Schizosaccharomyces pombe: one gene and its partner. The protein of the gene in region 1 interacts with the protein of each later gene in a biochemical or structural test. Each region holds a gene or a part of one and is shown in the gene's direction. Other genes may lie near its edges.

The links. Proteins that work in one complex are often made in the same cells at the same time.
Region 2: the proteins of hal3 (region 1) and pzh1 form a complex in vitro, tested with the Schizosaccharomyces pombe proteins (one study listed by BioGRID).

What each region holds. Positions count from the first base shown.
Region 1 is NC_003424.3:3,720,004-3,726,530, forward strand, and holds hal3 (thymidylate synthase), read left to right. Parts: upstream 1-3,752; 5' UTR 3,753-3,829; coding exon 3,830-5,707; 3' UTR 5,708-5,918; downstream 5,919-6,527. Other genes in the region: bud6 (actin-interacting protein 3), read left to right, coding at 1-960; SPOM_SPAC15E1.02C (uncharacterized protein), read right to left, coding at 1,307-1,753; rpl42 (60S ribosomal protein eL42), read left to right, coding at 2,506-2,805, 2,996-3,016; ect1 (ethanolamine-phosphate cytidylyltransferase), read right to left, coding at 5,919-6,527.
Region 2 is NC_003424.3:1,525,764-1,532,157, reverse strand, and holds pzh1 (serine/threonine protein phosphatase Pzh1), read left to right. Parts: upstream 1-2,385; 5' UTR 2,386-2,646; coding exon 2,647-4,194; 3' UTR 4,195-4,593; downstream 4,594-6,394. Other genes in the region: U3 snoRNP protein Utp14, read left to right, coding at 1-845; SPOM_SPAC57A7.07C (homocysteine methyltransferase), read right to left, coding at 1,043-1,969; rnf13 (RING finger protein), read left to right, coding at 6,009-6,394.

The sequences.
Region 1 (6,527 bases):
AGGATTCAAACCCTTGAAAGATCTCTTGAGGAAGTAACTCCAATTTGGAAGAAGCAATGGGAACGAGAGTTAAATGCAATTGTACAAGAGCAAGAATTTCTGGATAGTCATACTGTTCTTATATCAGATCTTAAGAGGGATCTTTCCGCATTATCCACTGTCCTTTCAAATGTTTCCGCGATAGCTGAATTGCAAGCCAAGTCCTCCATTAAAAGCAAACCCTTAACTTTGAAAACTGCCACTGAGTCTGAGATTAAAGGTTATCGTGATCAAATTCAGCTAGAAGTACTAAATCTAAAACCCGACAGTGAAGCACGACTACAGGCTATTGAGCGTAGTGAACTGTTGCAGAAAAAACGACTGTTGCAACGAGTAGATGAATTTTCAAAAGAAGTTAAAACTTTTGTTGAGAACGAAAAGTTGAATAAGATCGGAGGAGCGGAAGAGGCTGATCGAATTCGAACAATTCAAGATGAAAAAGTACGTAAAATTCTATGGGATGACTTTGTGTCATCGAAACGCAATGGAAAAAATGGAGGTAGTTTCATTGAGGAATCGAGTGACACTGTTTTAGACGAACATGTTGTGCCTGATAATTCTGCTAAAGCAACTGTTGCAGAAATAGACTACGGTTCACAGGTGGATACAGAGAATTTTATGTTAGAACGCAGTCCATTGGCAACTCCAAAGCCATTGAAGCAACCTGATTTTAATATATATGAGACGCCGATCGTCCGTAGTACAGCTCATGAAACAGATGATGAACAAACCCCTTCTAAATACTCCGATAACAGAGTCGAAAGTTCTAGTGATACAGTGTTTGAGAATACTGATCTTAAGTACGATAACAATGTACAGATGAGTAAAGTGACTCATCATGTAAGACACGATACGATATCCACTGATGACTATGACGCTTACGAAGATGCCGAAGATGTTGAAGAGACAAGCCTAACTTAATGTGCATAAGTTTTATTCGATTTGGCAATGATTGTATGCCAGTTTGTGTATTTTTTTTTTACTTTTTTTAACTTTAATTGTTACGAGAGAAATTACCCTGTATTACACTAGGACTGATGCAAATCTTGTGAATCAAGGATTTGCTGAATAGAGTTACAACATACCTTAATATGTACAGTTATAACAAGCAAAGGAAGCTTCGATGTTGTCCAATACCACTATTGGGATACTATTTTCACTTACAGTCTAACCAAATATGAGATAAACACAGAAAAGAAATCTTAGATATTAAAGAAAATTTGATTAACTTGTCGTTTTAAAAATCAGATATTGAACCATCGGAATCTTAAATACGACGTACGCCGTAACCGATCAAGGCAACACTTAAGCCTACTGATTTCACTAGAGAAGATATAGTTTTGACAAGGATGTAAGGGGTACCTCTGCTTTCTGTGAACATATAGTCGACTACGTCGGGCAATCCAGATGCACCAAATACATAAAGACCCACGAAAAAGGCACCTTTGAGTGTCACAGTGCCTGTAAGTTGCAACAATGCAGCGATCGAGTACGACTGAACTGCTGTACTAAGGAAATTGCTAACATAAGTTGTAGCAACCTTCTTGGTTTTACTTCCAGCGTCATATTCGACGTGAGGTGCAGTGCTCATTGCCCTTTTCCAAATATCGCCCATTAGGGGTCCATAAACGAGGAAAGAAGCAGCATGGTCGAAGGCAATCCCCAAGAGAATTGCACTAGGGCGTACATACGGCATGTGAGTGTAGGATGGCATTTCTTGTATTAATATTTAGTTTGAGTTAGAACAAGATTAATATGAATGTGAATATTTTGTAAAATAAATGTTTTGTAATTAAAGGATTTAAGGGCGCTACCACTAAATATATAGTATACTCAAGGTCCAATTATGGATTTAGGTACAGATTAATTTGGGGCGTCACTTTGACGTGTCGATGAAGTATGATAATTGGGAAATACTGCTTAGCCTGACTTGACTTGTTTTAAGTCGCTATTTCGCTATTTACATAGTGATATCTACATCATTTTCCTAAACTTTTGGTGGAGCAATATCTCATACTGTTCGGATGCTGTGCCAAGTCTTGCATAAAGAAATCAGTGAAGTCGATAAATATAAGATTTGGAGTGCAGCGATGGTAACAACTAGTGATTAAAAATAGAAATTTACTACAATAATTTTCGCATGTTTTACATTAAAAAGCCCTCACAGAAGAATCAAAGTTGGATTGAAATTCCAGCACTAAAACAATGTAGCTTAGAAATTTTGTTTGCTGGCCCACATTTGATATATTGCAAGCTTGATCTTACGCAGTAAACACTTTTAGGGTAGCTATCGGTTGTTCACACTATTGCGAACAGTGCGTTGAACGACATTACAGCAGCAAGTAAACCTAACCTAGAGGAATAAGAAACAGTCACATTTGTACAACAAGGGTTTAGCAGAGAAACTTTATGCTGTCGAGTTCCTAATCACCACCATCTAACCATCACTTATAAAAGTATCAAAAAATGGTGAACATTCCCAAGACCCGTAAGACTTACTGTCCTGGTAAGAACTGCCGCAAGCACACTGTCCACAGAGTCACCCAATACAAGAAGGGACCTGATTCCAAGCTTGCTCAGGGTAAGCGTCGTTATGACCGCAAGCAAAGTGGTTTTGGTGGTCAAACTAAGCCCGTTTTCCACAAGAAGGCTAAGGTTACCAAGAAGGTTGTCCTTCGTTTGGAATGCGTCTCTTGCAAATACAAGAATCAATTGGTTTTGAAGCGTTGCAAGCATTTCGAGCTTGGTGGTGAAAAGAAGACTAAGGTATGTCGAAGAATGCTGATAACGAGTGGATTGGATTTAGACGAATTTGTAAAAGAGTTTTTGCCGTGGTTGAATACCTCTCAAATCCAGAAAAAAAATTTTGCAAAGCGCTTTTATGAATTGTCTTTTGTTGAGTTTCATCCTTATTATCGATCATTTTCTTTATTTCATCTACTAACAATCATTTTAGGGTGCTGCTATCCAATTCTAAGTGTTTTAGCAAATACAATTTTCTTCTTTTACGGTGATCCTAAAAGCAATTCAAAGTAGTGTTTCATTTGTATTGTATAAATAATGACATGATTCCGATAGAGTAGCACACAAAGTGATGAGTTGTCATCAATTAGCAGTTCGCTAACGCTAAGGTCTGTTCTCAATATTGGAGCAATCTTTTTCGAGTGTTTCTAGTTCCATCGGTTTGAGTCAGAGCTTTTCAAGACTTGTATTACTGCTTGAGTAGAAGACAGGTGTTGTGATTTCGGAAAATAACCCATCACATTTGTCAGCATGTTAACTAAGATAAAAGTAATCAAACAAGTACAGCGTAAAATAGCGAGAGTACTAAAGCATCAAATATGCTTTCAAGTATTGCAAAAAAATTTTCTTTAAATTATCCATGCTTACGGGTCTTCTAAGGTTTAGGAGACTATGCCATTTGCCGAATTATGGATATATTAAGTAACTAATTGCTAATAGTGAGAGTGTAGTGCATCCTTGCATAACGGCACTTGGATTTCACACTGCAGGCATAATAAATAATTACTTTTTTTTGGTACTAAAGCAACGTACGTTCTTTGTTTTTCTGCGTACGACGTGTACAATTCCCTTGCAAAACTAAGGTTCGCTTGTTCAATTGCTAAATTTGTTTTTGTGGACGACCATTATAACGCGCTTCAATGAGTTTATAAAAGTTTCATTAAATTGCAGTACCAGATAAATCGATATCTAACCTTCTCCCTGCATCTATAATCTCTAGCTTCACCAACATTAAGGCCCGTCAATTACTTTCGTTTCGTTGGCCAATATGTCACAACCTTTGCATGCCAGGTTTGCTACCAGGGCTGTAAAAAATCCCATGATCCTTGAGAAAGAGCGACAACTTACGGATTCTAAATATCATATTTTGGTCGCTGCAACGGGTTCGGTTGCGGCGATAAAATTGACATTAATCGTTAAATCCCTACTGACATACAAGGGCGTCGACGTTCAAGTCGTTTTAACGGATCCGGCTCGTAACTTTGTTGAGAAAGAGGACTTAACGGCTTTGGGTGTCAATGTTTATAACAATGCGGATGATTGGAAAAATTGGGACGGACTCGAATGTCCTATCACACATATTGAGCTACGTCGATGGGCACATCTTTTGTTAATTGCCCCTTTAAGTGCAAATACTATGGCCAAAATGGCAAATGGTCTCTGTGACAATTTACTTACCTCTCTTATACGTGCCTGGGCCCCTTTAAAACCAATTCTCTTGGCTCCCGCAATGAATACCTTGATGTGGACTAATCCTATAACTCAGGAACATTTGAGCGCTATTAGCAGAATATACAAGAATAGTGAATTTATCATGCCAATCGAGAAAGTGCTTGCCTGTGGTGATATTGGCATGGGCGGTATGGCCGAATGGAGAAACATTGTAGGCAGAGTTGCCGATAAATTGCAGCTAGAACAAAAGTCTGTCTTGCCGAACGCTGTGAAAAACATCGATGGACAAGATGATGACTCTAGTGAACAAACTGCTGCTTTTGAAGAGTACGATGATGATGATGATGACGATGTTGATGATAATGAACAATCCAACAGTATGATTGAAACTTCTGCAAATGCAGATATTACCCCCAAGGCCTCTCTTTTACCCTCTACTACAGAATCTTCTATAAGCAAAGATCACGAGACCTCCCAAGCTCCATTAGGCTCGGAATCGGTGGATACTCAGGCCTCTGAAAATGTTACTACCAAACCCGAACCTCCTGTACCATTTACTTCCTCCGAATATAGAAATACAGAAGAAGAGCAATACCTAAATTTGATTCGATATATCCTTGAAAATGGCCAGTCGCGGCCCGATCGCACGGGAACTGGTACGAGATCGGTATTTGCTCCTCCACAACTACGCTTTTCTTTAAGGAATAATACTCTACCTCTTCTCACTACAAAGCGTGTTTTTTTACGTGGTGTGCTTGAAGAGTTACTTTGGTTTATTCACGGTGATACTAATGCCAATCATTTAAGTGAAAAAGGGATTCATATATGGGATGGCAATGGCAGTAGAGAATTCCTAGACAGCAGAGGGCTTACTGATCGTAAAGTTGGTGACCTCGGTCCTATATATGGTTTTCAATGGAGACATTTCGGAGCGCAATATGTTGATTGCGATACTGACTATACCAATAAAGGAGTGGATCAGCTGGCTCAGGTTATATCTACCCTCAAATTAAACCCTTATGACCGTCGTATAATTCTTTCAGCTTGGAACCCATTAGCTATTCCTGAAATGGCTTTACCACCTTGCCATATATTTTGCCAGTTTTATGTCAGTGAGCCTTGCAAGCCTGGGGGAAAGCCCCAACTTTCTAGTATGATGTATCAGCGCTCTGCCGACATGGGGCTTGGAGTTCCTTTTAACATTGCTTCTTATTCTCTCTTAACACATATGATAGCTCACATGTGCGGCTATGAAGCTGCCGAATTTGTTCACGTAATGGGTGATTGTCATATATACAATGATCATTTAGAGGCATTACAAACTCAGTTGGAAAGAGTTCCTAAAGCTTTCCCTAAGTTGTTTTTCAAACGTGATGCTAAAGACATAGGGTCTATTGATAGTTTCAGCGTTGATGATTTCGCAGTTGAAGGTTATAATCCTTATGGCCCTATTAAAATGAAAATGAGTGTCTAATTATTAGCCTTTCTTATATACGTTTGCTTCGTTGATGATTTTTGAAGTTGAAACACAATTTCTCTGTAATAGATTTTTTAGTTAATGGATATCAAAAGTTTAATAGCGATTGTATATGTTCATTTATAAAAGTTGCTAAAGCTTATTTAAAAGAAACGACAAGATGTTTAAAAGGATATTATGCTGTTAATTACTAAGACCAGGAGCAAAATTATGCGTAAGTTTTAATGGTCGTTTGTTCTGTAGCATTTTTACCCATTTTTCGACGCTGCCGTTCTTCATAATGCTGCCGACGTAACATAACCCGCTGCTTAATCAAATCAGAACCCAGCTTATCAAATTTATAAAAACTATTATTTGGGGTATTGGAAAGGCTAATGTCAAGCGCTGGTATGCTCACGTCAGTGGAAAATATTGGGTAATATACTTTCGAGATCTGCTCATCAAAACATAACTTTATGTATTTAGAAGATGCAAACAAAGATGCTGGTGGAGGACCAACGAGGATTGAAGATATATATTTGCATTGTAGTAAATTCAAGATACGCTCTAACAGATTAAGCATAGGCTTTTCGAAACATTTCTCATCCGCGAAAATACCTGCCATAATTGGAATACCCGGAAACATTCGAGTACAGAGTTCTAAAGCAGAAATATGCTTCTCTGTAAACAAATCCCAATCACCATCAATGTATATTATGTTCTTTTCGGGATTCAACCTTAGCAAGGTTGTGCCCGAAATAAGGGTTTCTGGCTTCTCAGTGTTATATATAAAAACATCAGTAAAAGGAGTTAGCCCGTCGGAATCAGTTGCAAATCT
Region 2 (6,394 bases), 2.2 Mb from region 1:
CAAAATTATCTTTGCCATCAAGGAAAAATCCCTTTGTTTCTGATTCAGCGGTGCTGAAAGTCAACAAACCGGAAATGAAGGAAGGACAAAAGAAGGCCGAAGCTCGAAAAAAAAAGGAATCACCATTAGAAGCAACTGAGGAAACTAATCCATGGTTGCAAGTACCTGACCAAAGGACCTCTTCTGCCAAAAAGTTGGATAAAAACAGCTCTAAGGCAGACAAAAAGAATCACAAGTTAAAAATGGACAAAGTTGCCTCCCTTCAAGAACTTGTCGAAGAACCTAAAGTTCAGCCTGATTTAATTTTTGAAGAAAAGGCTTTTGAATCAGCGTCGGAAGCGGAATCGGATGTTGATGTTTCGGTACCTATGTTAAAGCCAACCAAAGGTCGTTTGTCAATTAAGCAGAGAGAGCTTGTTGCTAAAGCATTTGCTGGCGACGATGTTGTCGCTGAATTTGAAAAGGATAAAGAAGACTGGGTTCAAGAGGATGCACCGAAAGAAGAAGATCATAGTTTGCCCGGTTGGGGTTCATGGGGAGGTGTTGGCGTAAAACAAAGAAAGACTAAGCCTAAGGTTAAAAAAATTGCTGGACTAGATCCGTCAAAGCGGAAGGATTCTAAGCTAAAGCATGTGATTATTAATGAAAAACGCAACAAGAAAGCTGCTAAGCTTACTGCTGATAGTGTTCCGTTCCCATTTGAATCACGAGAACAGTATGAACGATCTCTTAACTTGCCTATGGGACCAGAATGGACTACTCGAGCTTCACATCATAAGGCTGTTGCTCCCAGAGTTGTTACCAAACGTGGTAAAGTCATTAATCCTATTAAGGCACCTAATTAGATTCTTATATGTACATTGAGTTTTGGATTTTTGTTATTAGATTGATATCTTTTGCAGTAGATTAGATACATTTGTAATGGATTTTGGGATATTGGGAAGAAATATATATTTTGAGGTAAATACTTTAAACAAGAAAAAAATTAATTCAATACAAATATATTAATATCATGAGGAAAATTAATTAAAATGGTTATAATTTACTTCGTTTTCTCCCGGAGTAAAGATAAGTGATTATAATTTGTTTCACAGCATCCACCGAGTATCAGGTTTCCATTATGTAGATTTGAGTATTTAGCCGTTATAGTTGACCATTCTTCAGGTGAAGGGGCAGGATGATCTGTTGAGCCAGGTGAAAAAGTACCGTCTGGATTTTGATACAACCCGCGGCCGTCAGGGTACAAAATAGCAGTTATGTTGGATGGTAAAAGACTGGATAGCATTTTTGCGATGGGTTCGAGTAAACTGAGGTGAAAGCAATTAACACCGATGCCCCATATAGAGTCATGATTGATGCTCAGTATCTTGGAGATAATGGACGATACTCGTTCAATAGTGCTGCGCTCAGGGCACGTACAGGTGATCCAGCAACGCTTAGACCAACCTTTCATATCTTGAATGAGTTGGCATACTACTTCTGCTTCAGTCACGTGAGGAAGGCTTTCAAATGCAATGAAGTCAATTTTTTCGAAAGCTTTAGGATTAGATGCTTGAATGGCTTCAATTCTGTTTTTATGAAAATTGTATAGCATTTCAAAATCGGTGGGTTTATCATAAATCATTTTGTATTCCATACATCCAGGAATAGTAGCAGCATGACTTCCGAGACATAAAGCAATATATTTGTTGGGCAAACCCAAATGTTCTCTAGCATAAACAGGTAACCCAATGCTGTTTGCGTAAACCTGTTTTAATGGTACACCTTCTACCTTTTCGTCGTAGATAGAAGCATCCAGTTGATAAGTGAAAGTACTAATAATGTCGCAAACTTTTAAAAATTCTTCATGATGCTTAACAACGATCTCTGGATAACGCACCAGTGCTTCAGAGGTCCATAATCTAGACTCAGATATACTTTCAGGAAGCTTTGGAAGAATGGCAGTAGAGCCACCGTCTAACATAAGCATTTTGGAAAACTCAAAAATTGGGAAAAATAGTTCAACGAACAGCAAAAATGGTATCTCAGGTTATACACTAGTATTAACAGATGTAACTGCCTTTTGATGGATATTACAACAGTTTAGAGAATATCGCACAATCAGAAACCCAATCGACCCAAAACAAAAACATTTGAGTAAGAATCAGACTAGTATATAACGTAACGCGAAATTTTTCCATATTTAATTTAACGTTAATTTACGTGGATCAATTGCGCCTTTTATTTTACTTTGGAATACACTGCAGTTATTATACAGTAAGTGCGCCATCATCGTTGCACCACACTAGATGGACCCAGCGAGTTCAGTTCTCGAGTAAGATGGAACGGGCTACTACGTCTATCAGATTTATACTACACTTCCCATCACTTGTTAACCCATTCTTCACCACGACCTTACAAATTTTTAAACGATTGTGTTTTGTCAGCAAAGCAAAACATTTTTATAGACCAGGATTACTTGAAGAAGAGAAAATCTACTAATTTACGGAAAATATCGAAAAATAGAAAAAATCTAGGTACAATTGGGAAACCTTTTAATTTTGGCACTAAATGCAAGCAACGAAGTCTCGATTTTGAAGTAAAAAAGAAAATAAAAATAGAACAAAGTGGAATAGTTTCCCGGAATCTACCATTAATTGAAATACAATGGGACAGGGGAGCAGTAAACACGCCGACAGCAAGCTCGATTCCTACCCATCCTTTTCTCGGTCAGACACTCAAGGATCCATTAAGTCTTTAAAGTCTCTGAAAACAGTCCTGGGGAAGGGCAAAGACTCGAATCATGATCGCCGAACGTCTACTGATACAACCCATAGTCGTCACCGGTATCCCGAAACACCACCAAGCCTTCCTCCTCCTCCTTCTCCTGGGATATTAGCTACATCTCCGGCTGTGTTGCAAAAGCATCAACAGGAGGATTCGGGAAATTCTTCTCAATCTCCGACGTCGCCGCATCCTTCTAACCAGCCTGCCATGCTTAGTCCCTCTACGGCCGCTTCCCAGCATCATCATCATCATTCTTCTTCTTCTTCTTATGCCGTTTCTCCAACATCACCTACCTCACCAACCAGCTCTGGCCCAATTGGCTCCAACTTTGATTCAGCTTCTGAGCATAATGGTCCTGTGTATCCACAAGATCAGCAGGGGCCCGTAATTATCCCTAATTCGGCAATTTCTTCTACGGATCCTGATGATCCTGAAACAGTTGTTAGCCTTAACGTAGATGAAATGATTCAAAGATTGATCCATGTTGGCTATTCTCGAAAAAGTAGTAAAAGTGTGTGTCTAAAGAATGCTGAAATTACCAGCATTTGTATGGCCGTACGAGAAATATTTCTTTCGCAGCCGACACTTTTAGAATTGACCCCGCCGGTGAAAATCGTTGGTGACGTTCATGGTCAATATTCCGATTTAATTCGACTGTTTGAAATGTGTGGGTTTCCTCCGAGCTCTAATTATTTATTCTTAGGCGATTATGTCGATCGTGGTAAGCAGAGTCTTGAAACCATCCTCTTGCTCTTTTTGTACAAGATCAGATATCCAGAAAACTTTTTCTTGCTACGGGGCAATCATGAATGCGCTAATATCACTCGCGTTTACGGTTTTTACGATGAGTGTAAAAGACGTTGCAATATCAAAATTTGGAAGACTTTCATAAACACCTTTAATTGCTTACCCATTGCGTCCGTTGTAGCCGGTAAAATTTTTTGCGTTCATGGTGGTCTTTCTCCATCGTTAAGTCATATGGATGACATACGGGAGATTCCTCGTCCTACTGACGTTCCTGACTATGGATTGCTGAATGATTTGTTATGGTCAGATCCTGCTGATACTGAAAACGATTGGGAAGATAATGAACGAGGTGTTTCTTTTGTTTTCAACAAAAACGTTATCCGGCAATTTTTGGCCAAGCACGACTTTGATTTAATCTGTCGTGCTCACATGGTTGTTGAAGACGGTTATGAATTTTTTAATGACAGAACTTTATGTACGGTGTTTTCTGCCCCTAATTACTGTGGGGAATTTGATAATTGGGGGGCCGTGATGAGTGTTAATTCAGAGCTGCTTTGTTCCTTTGAACTTATAAAGCCTCTCGACCAGGCAGCAATTCGACGAGAATTAAAAAAGAGCAAGCGTAGTGGTATGGCTATTTATCAATCTCCCCCTGCTGAGCAGGTTACCCAAAGCGTGTAAGCATTCTATTTTTTCTATTTTGGTCTCCATTTGAAATTATCTAGCGGTTTTATTGGGACACTATTTTATTCTCTTAAATGAGTATTATCTGTTATTATGTTATAGTCACTATGGTGATGGATCAAGTCCTTGGTTCACTTTATCGGTTCGAGGGCAATTCCATCCTGACACGTTTAGTATAAGTTTCTGTTTCTTTTAATAAAAACACAATCATTTCCATATAGTGACAGTTAACTTGCTTTTTATTTTTGCTAACCGACACCTGCTGAACATCGAAAGAGTAGGTAAAAAATTTACATGAGGAGGAAATAAACAATTATTATAGTATTATTATTAGCATTAAATAAATTTAAAGCGAAAATGTATCCATTTCTTTGTAAATCTTCTATCAATTACTAATCTCCCATACGATGGGCTTAAAACAACACTTTGAAAACTAAAGTTGAATGTGGTATCGTACTTAAGTACTTCTTTCCATGATCCATTTGTGATAAGTATTTTGGTTTCCTTATTGTATAATGAGTAAGCTACTTTTGTTGCATAATGCTGCCAAGTAGGCAGTTCTTTGATAAATCTCCTGCGTTGTTTTGTTTGTGTCAGCTTTTTCGTTCAATCAAGATATTTTATCACATTATTTCAAGGTTCAATGAATCATTCGAAGAATAGTAACGAATTCAGATATATTAAATAAAGGCACACATAATCTCTAAAGATTACAGTTTAATGGCTCTTTCAAAGTGTTTAGTAATATATACACTAAATTTCTAAAATTCAGTAGTTATGGCGAAGTGGCCGAGTGGTCTATGGCGCTAGCTTCAGGTGAAAGCAATTGCTAGTCTACGTATGTGGGCGTGGGTTCGAACCCCACCTTCGTCAATATAATTTTTTATATCATGTTAATGGAATTGAGAAAAAGCAAGCTGTCAGTTTATACTTTCAATGTTATGCAGAAACCGTTTTATTTCAATTATTTACACTGTTTGACACTACTAAAGCAGAGTTAATTGTAATGAGACATAACGGTACATGGTGCTTCGACTTTCATAACCATTAAAGAAAAGAAGAATGTCTTGATTTTGGCTTATTTAAAGACCCATTGTGACTGGAAAAACAAATGACCCTACGTAGTAAAGGGTAAAATGAATTTTTTTTAATTTTTTTTTTAGATTCAATGTAGAAATATAATCGATTATCAGATTCATTGTCATGCCTGATAATCCATGTATGATACTATGCAAAGATATAAAGAGAATTTTCTTCTTTTTTAAAAGTTGTTTTAAAGATAGAGGATGTTGTTTTTAAGCTGCTGAAACTGAATAATATAAGAAATCTAACGAGCAAGAGAATGCTCGACTTATGTTTACAATATTATATAGCTAAATATCTTAAGTTCTTATTATATAACTTTATACAGTACAATGATACTTTTCAATATTATATAAGTATTTACCTCTTTTGATCAGATACAAAGTATCTTTCAAGAGAGCTTGTTTTCTACTGACTGTTTCGTCTTTAAAATAAGTTGATTGGGAATAAATTGTATTAATTTTTTTTATCCCTCGCAAATATCGGATTTCCTTTTGTTGAACACTGCAACTTGCCTTAATGCTGACAATGTTACTAATCAATTGAATAATCCTGGCAACTACTAGTGAAAAGGGTTTTAAAATAAAATAAAATATCTCAAAATAGCTTACGCATACCTTTTTTGGTGACTCTGTAGTTATCGTTATACAGGTGCTATATAACTAAGCGGCTTCACCTTGCGGTATCCGTTCTTCCTCCACTCTTCACGCCTTCTGTAAATTATTAATATGTCGTATTATCAAATAATAGTTTGTATTCTAGCATCCATTAGTTATATCATTCTTCTAGAGGTAATTGCCTTAGATCTTGGAGTGTTAGATAACATATTTATTCCTAAGCGATTTGCGGCCAGTACAGATGTTGCCATTCAGCTGCCGGACCGTAATGTCACTCTATGGTCACGACAGGCAGTATTTGGTAAACATTTTACGAACGCTTCAGCTACCACTGTGATTAATCTTTATCTACCTTCTAACTTCCAAGAGGATATGTCCGGATGCCCAAACAGAAACGATACTGACGCTTCCTACTTTTACGAAAATGATATAATCGACTATGACATTGAGTATATAGAGCAAAAATCATATTCCTCCAAGCCTTCTGCTCGAGTACA